Xenopus tropicalis: one gene and its partner. The protein of the gene in region 2 purifies or fractionates together with the protein of the main gene of each other region. This does not show direct contact. Links are inferred from orthologs where the notes say so. Each region holds a gene or a part of one and is shown on either strand. Other genes may lie near its edges. The genes, in order: atg9a and ap1m1.

The links.
Region 1: the proteins of ap1m1 (region 2) and atg9a purify together in Homo sapiens (affinity purification with western blotting, with the first as the bait; 3 studies listed by BioGRID). This does not show direct contact. The link is inferred for Xenopus tropicalis from reciprocal best matches to the Homo sapiens genes AP1M1 and ATG9A.

The regions. Positions count from the first base shown.
Region 1 is NC_030685.2:83,968,963-83,973,357, forward strand, and holds the start of atg9a (autophagy-related protein 9A), read left to right. Parts: upstream 1-1,572; 5' UTR 1,573-1,703; exon of another isoform or gene 1,704-1,713; intron 1,714-3,594; exon of another isoform or gene 3,595-3,597; 5' UTR 3,598-3,715; intron 3,716-4,395. Other genes in the region: ankzf1 (ankyrin repeat and zinc finger domain-containing protein 1), read right to left, coding at 1,346-1,353. UniProt on the Homo sapiens protein: Phospholipid scramblase involved in autophagy by mediating autophagosomal membrane expansion. Cycles between the preautophagosomal structure/phagophore assembly site (PAS) and the cytoplasmic vesicle pool and supplies membrane for the growing autophagosome.
Region 2 is NC_030677.2:98,838,018-98,842,503, reverse strand, and holds the start of ap1m1 (AP-1 complex subunit mu-1), read right to left. Parts: upstream 3,053-4,486; 5' UTR 2,820-3,052; coding exon 2,778-2,819; intron 1-2,777. UniProt on the Homo sapiens protein: Subunit of clathrin-associated adaptor protein complex 1 that plays a role in protein sorting in the trans-Golgi network (TGN) and endosomes.

The DNA of each region.
Region 1 (4,395 bases), on a different chromosome or scaffold from region 2:
CTCCCCAGACCCAGAAAGGGCCTGGGAAAGTCAACACCAGGAGCTCACAAAAACACGTCTACTCTCTTCGGACTGCTGCTTACAATGGGGATCAGATAGGATCTGTGCCACTGTGACAGAATGCTCTGTTATACAGATAGCTAGAATCTCAGCCATAAAGCAGGGCAGGACTGCTGCTTACAATGGGGGGATCAGATAGGATCTGTGCCACTGTGACAGAATGCTCTGTTATACAGATAGCTAGAATCTCAGCCATAAAGCAGGGCAGGACTGCTGCTTACAATGGGGGGATCAGATAGGATCTGTGCCACTGTGACAGAATGCTCTGTTATACAGATAGCTAGAATCTCAGCCATAAAGCAGGGCAGGACTGCTGCTTACAATGGGGGGATCAGATAGGATCTGTGCCACTGTGACAGAATGCTCTGTTATACAGATAGCTAGAATCTCAGCCATGAAGCAGGGCAGGACTGCTGCTTACAATGGAGGGATCAGATAGGATCTGTGCCACTGTGACAGAATGCTCTGTTATACAGATAGCTAGAATCTCAGCCATAAAGCAGGGCAGGACTGCTGCTTACAATGGGGGGATCAGATAGGATCTGTGCCACTGTGACAGAATGCTCTGTTATACAGATAGCTAGAATCTCAGCCATAAAGCAGGGCAGGACTGCTGCTTACAATGGGGGGATTAGATAGGATCTGTGCCACTGTGACAGAATGCTCTGTTATACAGATAGCTAGAATCTCAGCCATAAAGCAGGGCAGGGCTGCTGCTTACAATGGGGGGATCAGATAGGATCTGTGCCACTGTGACAGAATGCTCTGTTATACAGATAGCTAGAATCTCAGCCATAAAGCAGGGCAGGACTGCTGCTTACAATGGGGGGATCAGATAGGATCTGTGCCACTGTGACAGAATGCTCTGTTATACAGATAGCTAGAATCTCAGCCATAAAGCAGGGCAGGACTGCTGAATATAATGGCTCCCACACAGACTATTCAGCCCACACTCCCATTAGAGCAGCCCTGACTAGAGAATGACACATTAGATGTACCTGCCCTGTGTGCCCAACCATGTGGGGATGTCCCATAGTTACAGTAACTGACTAAGGGCCCCAAGTTGTTTCCCTAAACATCTGTTTAATGAGAGAATTTTTTCAATTGGCAGAAAATCGCTGAAAGTTATTTCACTGGAATAAGAAGAATACAGAAGAGAAAAGGCCAATACAGACAGTACCACAGCGCTTTCAAACCAATCCAATACCACTGACATGTGCCAACTATACCCCTCACGCATTACCCATGTGCCACACACATTGTCACTTATCAGTGCCAGTCTCACCCTTCCATGCTGCCCACACTTTGCTGACTTCTCACTCCACTTCCGCGTCTGTCGTCACTTCCCTCAGTTCTCCCTTCGACTTACAGCAACACTTGTTTCTCAACCTGACTCAAAACAAACCGCGGCTCCGCCCCGCCTCCCAGGCATCTGATTGGATGTCCAGTTGGCCGCTCCTCTTGCGATTCGCTCGAACACCGCCCAGTGGGCGGAACCTCTTTGCTGATTGGTTTATGCTCCTGTCAGGGCTCCTGAATGACTTGCCGTGGCTGCCGTGACTGGGCTAGAGGCGCGGCACTAAGGGTCGCTGTACCCCGGTAACCGAGACCGGACAAGAAACGTCACTTGCTGACACTGTCGGGTAAATAAAGGTTGGTGGGAAATAAGGGGAGAGTCTCGTATTGGTTCAGTGAGAGAGAAGGGTATGGCCCGGCTGGGCTGTATATGCTGTATTCACATATATATCTGTTATTGCTATAATACTGTGTGTGTGTGTGTGTGTGTGGTACATATACCTGTAGGGACCCATAGGGTTAAGTTACCTGTCACTCCAATCATAGATTCCTGGGGTGCTCTATATCCTACATTACATGGGCATATACCTGTCAGTAGCATAACAGACATCCATGGTTAGGTGATATATACATACTGTATTATAGGTACACAGGCTTGTTATTGAAATAATATATAGCCCTATGGTGCTGTATATACTATATTATATAGGTATGGGACCTGTTATCCAAAATGCTTGGGACCTGGGGTTTTCCAGATAAGGGATCTTTCTGTAATTTGGATCTCCATAACTTAAGTCTGCTAGAAATCATTTAAATGTTGAATAAACCCAATAGGGCTGTTCTGCCCCCAATAAGGGGTAATAATATCTTAGTTGGGATCAAGTACAGGTACTGTTTTATTATTACAGAGAAAAGGGAATCATTTAACCATTAAATAAACCCAATAGGGCTGTTCTGCCCCCAATAAGGGGTAATTATATCTTAGTTGGGATCAAGTACAGGTACTGTTTTATTATTACAGAGAAAAGGGAATCATTTAACCATTAAATAAACCCAATAGGGCTGTTCTGCCCCAATAAGGGGTAATTATATCTTAGTTGGGATCAAGTACAGGTACTGTTTTATTATTACAGAGAAAAGGGAATCATTTAACCATTAAATAAACCCAATAGGGCTGTTCTGCCCCCAATAAGGGGTAATTATATCTTAGTTGGGATCAAGTACAGGTACTGTTTTATTATTACAGAGAAAAGGGAATCATTTAACCATGAAATAAACCCAATAGGGCTGTTCTGCCCCCAATAAGGGGTAATTATATCTTAGTTGGGATCAAGTACAGGTACTGTTTTATTATTACAGAGAAAAGGGAATCATTTAACCATGAAATAAACCCAATAGGGCTGTTCTGCCCCAATAAGGGGTAATTATATCTTAGTTGGGATCAAGTACAGGTACTGTTTTATTATTACAGAGAAAAGGGAATCATTTAACCATTAAATAAACCCAATAGGGCTGTTCTGCCCCCAATAAGGGGTAATTATATCTTAGTTGGGATCAAGTACAGATACTGTTTTATTATTACAGAGAAAAGGGAATCATTTAACCATTAAATAAACCCAATAGGGCTGTTCTGCCCCCAATAAGGGGTAATTATATCTTAGTTGGGATCAAATACAGGTACTGTTTTATTATTACAGAGAAAAAGGAAATAATTTTAAAAAATTAGAATTATTTGCTTATAATGGAGTCTATGGGAGATGGCCATTCCGTAATTCAGAACTTTCTGGATAACGGGTTTCCGGATAAGGGATCCCATACCTGTATATAAATATACCTGTCAGTAGAATAATAGACATCCATTAGGTGCTATGCATACTATATTATATGTACACATGCTTTTTATTGAAATAATATAGAGCCCTATTGTGCTATATATACTATATTATATGTACTTATGCCTGTCACTAGAGTAGTACAAACCAATTAGGTGCCATATATATATATTATATGTACATATACCAATAGAATAATGTCAGTCCCTATGGTGCTGCTTATAATAAATGATGCACCTTAATATATTAATAATAAAATAAACAAATGTGAGAGTTCTGTTACACACACCCGTATATTTCTATATATAAATGCATGTATGTGAAACTGACGAGCAGACAAAGGTTAATCTGTTGTTTCAGTGTTTGCAGTGGCCTTGTGTAACCGTTGCTTTCGTTTTCTCCCCAGCAGAGAAGCCACGGCTGAGAGAGGTGCAGCCACTCAGGGTGATATAATAAAGAGAGTAATATGAGAAGCAGGGCTGTTAGAGAGCAGCGGTGAAGGTTCCAGACAGGCCGATCACCTTATGGTGAGTATTAATGGTCAGAGGGTGCCCTGCCTGCCCCGTCCAACTCCCAGCACAACCCCCTGCCTGCCCCATCCAACTCCCAGCACAACCCCCTGCCTGCCCCGTCCAACTCCCAGCACAACCCCCTGCCTGCCCCGTCCAACTCCCAGCACAACCCCCTGCCTGCCCCGTCCAACTCCCAGCACAACCCCCTGCCTGCCCCGTCCAACTCCCAGCACAACCCCCTGCCTGCCCCGTCCAACTCCCAGCACAACCCCCTGCCTGCCCCGTCCAACTCCCAGCACACCCCCTGCCTGCCCCGTCCAACTCCCAGCACACCCCCCTGCCTGCCCCGTCCAACTCCCAGCACAACCCCCTGCCTACCCCATTCAACTCCCAGCACAACCCCCTGCCTGCCCCGTCCAACTCCCAGCACAACCCCCTGCCTACCCTGTCCAACTCCCAGCACACCCCCCTGCCTACCCCGTCCAACTCCCAGCACAACCCCCTGCCTACCCTGTCCAACTCCCAGCACAACCCCCTGCCTACCCCGTCCAACTCCCAGCACAACCCCCTGCCTACCCCGTCCAACTCCCAGCACAACCCCCTGCCTACCCCATTCAACTCCCAGCACAACCCCCTGCCTGCCCCGTCCAACTCCCACCCCCAGGATTTGGAACAACTGCTGGGGCTGCTGCTGG
Region 2 (4,486 bases):
TATACTTTTACATGACTGAAGCGCATCAATAATTATAAAGGAAAGCACAAAACAGCCATGCATGGGAACTGCTTAAAAGAAAATAATAATTACCATGGCAACAAAACAGCCATTGAGTTTGGGTCTACATAGTGCTCTATGCACTAGCCTAGCTCACTGAATGTTAAAGGGTAGCTCACCTTTTATTTTTTTTTTTATAGTTTTTTTTATTATTTGCCTATATTTCCTGCCTCTTTCCAGCTTAAAATAGGGTCATTTACTGCAACATCCCCTGTGAGTCTACAATTTTAGTTACTTTTTATTACTTATCTTTCTCTTCGGGCCCTTAACTATTCATCTTCAGGTCTCTTACTGAAATCATTGCCTGGTTGTTAGGGTAAACTAGAACCTAACAAACAGACAGCTGCTGTAATTCCTATCTGGAAAGCTGCTTGACCAAAAAATAAAAATAAAGGCACTCAGCAAATTATCTTAGAACATCACTGCATCATATGAAAGGGTCATTTAAACGTGACCTACTCATTTAAAGAAGTAGTAAGCCTGACATAGAAGAAGCTTTCTGGGAATGTACAGAGAAGCAGAAGCCAGTGTGCAGCAGCAGTTTTTTTTCAGTTCCCATACATAACTTGCCTGACTTACTGTGCATTCCCAGAAAGCTGCCCTCTTCCACTATAGAGAGCTGAACAGGAAGAGAGGCAGGGCTTCATGCTGTACCAGGAAGAAGAGGAAAAGAGCTGGAGATTTCAACTTATAAATCAGAAACCAGATCAGACTGAATGCAGGGACTAAGGTAAGTTATTCTGGGGGTTGTTTAGAGTCATTTTAAGACAGAAAAAAAGGTTTACCAGAAGCTTTATCAGAAATGTCTATGTAAATACAGCAATAAACACTCACAGAAACACTATACTGACTTATCTGTAAAAAGATTAGCTGTGTCTGTTTTCCTCTGCCAGAGACACACAGCTTTCAGCTCTCTCCTCTCTGCTGCTCCCCTGCTCCCCTCCTCCCTCAAGAATGCTAAGAACTCACCCCCCCCTTAGGAATGTGGATCTGAGCCAATCAACAGGAAGCTGACTCATAGTCTTACTAACTGAGCATGTTCACTTGGTCTGGGTGTCTGTGCAGGAGTGAGGCATTATGGGAACTTTACACAGCTCAGTGTTTTTTCTTCCTGTTTAGCTTCTGATCATCTGAACAGGTGAAATATGGGGAGACTTAGGGGCACTATTGAGAGAACTGAAGGTATGCCTGCAGCTTGAGATTAACTCTTTATTAGCCTTTCCTTCTCCTTTAAGACAAACCCAGTTGCAGTTATTTGTATAATACAAATATCAGTGTACCATCCATAACAGAAAGATAGCATATACAAGTATTTTTAAGTGGTTTATAATAAACAAAAATAAAACATTTGAAAAAGGTAGGCAATAAATATGTAAACTGTGGATTTATAGAACACATTCCTGTCAGTCCTGTTCAAAAAACCACAACAAGCTTTAATCCATTTTCTAAAAAATAAATCTGTTCAAACAGGTCCCAGTACCATTTAGATGAAACACAGCAAATGTGGATATAAAGTAGTCTTTGGATCCAAGGTTATAGGTTGTAATTTCTGGGAATGTCTAGGCACCTCCCCCCATCATTTTTTTTACTTTTTTGTGCTCTACGGGCTAAACTTCACTATATCTGATCCAAAATTAAATTAGAACTGATGGAGATCAGATTTTGTAAGATCCAACAAACTCTTGTGCTGTTAAGTCAGACAGAATCTGACCCACAAAAACTGATCATAAGCACTCCTGGAGTTTACCCTAACAGCTTGGATTTGGTTAATAATAACCAAGAGAAAAATATGTTGAGTGATAAAAATGCTTAACCCAAAATGCTGAACCTGGAGTATTGCAGGGATGTGTTTCACAGACACAAAGTAGTTAGATAAACATAAATCAGGTAAGATCTAGGGAGAATGCTACTTTCTGTCATAGGTACAGCAGAAAGCCAATCTTTAAGGCCACTTGGGGTAAGAGTTGCTCTCCTACACTATGGCTGTGCGACTGATAATTTTTTCCTATATCTGGATCTGGATCCCCACGAGGCTCTTGTTAAGCTTAAAATGTCTGAAAACCAATGATCTGAGGAAGTGATAGTGATGTACACATAGATATTTAATGAACAGATCTGTGCCAGGGTTTTCTGTACTACTGATTTATAATAAAAACTGCTCAGACAGATCCCATGGCTATTTCACTAATGAGTAACATTTCAGGCAATCCTTAGCTTCTGACCTTCACACAGTCCTTTCACATGTAGGTAAGGTTTGGCACACAAGTAAATCGCACACAGGGGCACCTGCTGCTGCGCTCACACAGTGTTATTAACTCCGGCTCAGTAACATAGAAGTGGCAGCTGCCGGCCAAACGAGCAGCAGGCAGAGCATCTCATACAGGGAGTGGAACGTATTGGGTGGTGGCGATGTACAATACGAATACCACATTTATAAGGTTTGGTCAGACATGCATCTAATCGGAAGAGAAATCATGCCACTCTGAGAAGGGCCTGGCTAGCTACAATCGAATTCAGCGACCTTCAATGATGAAACACATACACAATCTGTCATATTCAAAGAAATAATGCTGTATTGTCCTAATATTGCTTCATTTCATCCGCCTTGCTCATACAGATCAGAAACGTTCTATTCGGCACCCTAACACTACAACATGGCCCTGCCAGCCCCGCTCTTGGTGACCAGCCCTGCCCGCATTCATTATCCGAACGCTCACCTTCCCTTTCAGGTCTAGCACATATACTGCGCTAGCCGACATCCTTACGGCCGAAGATAGTCCTGCAAAGGCAAGCCAAGCTGCTGCCCACTAGCCCAAAGCTTCGTTATCCTCAGTCCTCTCACAATACCATCCCCGTTATCCACCTCGATAGCGGTCCGCTCAGAGAGGAAACGCAATGTAACTTCCGGTTAGCCCTGTCATAGAGACTTAACATTCCCTTACTAAGATGGCGGATTTAGTCAAAAAGCGGGTCCTTCCATAGTCGATATTTGTGAACGGTCTAAACATGTCTCCACACAAAAAATGTGTGAGACGTCTTATAGAAAGGCCATTAATTGTTTTACGGCTGACAGATTGAAACAATTCCTTGCGTTACTATTTATTCTTGGCCATATTGATTCACGCGAATCAGATTGCACGGACGTTCTACTACATTTGGCTTTTATGGAAGGAAGCCTTTGTAGTAAAGCTTGCGCTGAACGTACTTTTTGCATGTTGGTATGATATGAAAAATCTGTTTTTTTGTTCATTCTTGAGAAGACACAGCAAAAACAGGGAAACTGATTCTGTTCCATGAAGGAGATAATTTGATTGCCCATGTACAGATTATTCCCCTGCATGATGGACTCCTGCGAATAAAACACAATGGGCGAGGGAGGGGGTTGAATACTGGTAATGAAATTATCTACCTGGCATGAACCAAACATGGAGTAGCTTCTGTTTCTCTGTTTACCCCAAGATATATAAAAAACCACATAGACTTTACATAATTAAAAATAAAGATACAAAGTATGTTCAGCACAAGCCCTGTTCATTTAAAGAAGAGGGTTTACTGACTCATGTTTGTCACTGTGTATGTTTTATTTATTAAAATGTTTATTTCTCATTGTACACTTCCCATCCTTTACAAATGTATATGCTCTGTATATACTGTAGCACTGTATAAATAAATGTACATATATATGCATTTGATTTGTCAAACAGATTATTGCTGTTGTATAAACATAATAATTCACATAATTATTATTTACTAGCAGGTCTTGGTTTTAGCTGGAGTGTATTTATCAGAGGTGGCCCATAGGCGACCTGGCCAGCCACCTTGCCCCACCACTTCCCCCTCTACCAGGAAATCCACTGTGGGGGTAAGAGATCCCGGACTAAGGGTTGGCAACAGAAGTACCTGCCCTAGACAGGTGCCTCTTCCGCCTACCCCTAGTTCCGGCCCTGGTATTTATTATCTGTGCTGCTGTGGTCAGTCTTAGCTAATACATGTTCATAAAACTCTCCTAAAACCCTGCCATATACAGTGTGGGACTGGCCTGCCATGGTAGAGGGAGTTGTCCCAGTGGGTCCTGGTGAGTGGTTCCTGAGACCATTCTGCAAAGCAAAGCATTAACTCTTTTCTACCTTTTCATTATTGTGTTTTTTATTATGATCGGTTAAAATAAAACTCTGTGATGGGGTCAGGGAAAAGAGAAAAATCAAGTTTATTGCCACAGAAAAGCAGAAGAATCCAGAAAGGGCTGCCAAGGTGACTTTCTTTGGAAGAATTTGCACAGAGTAAATGGGAGAGCAAAAGCTAATAGATAAAGATAGCACTCTCTTTGTCCTCCACATGAGTTCCTGCAGGGCTGACTGATGAGACCCTTCTAAGCAGTACATTGTGGTCTCAAGCATCAAGGAGCAACTGAAATCACACCCCAGCT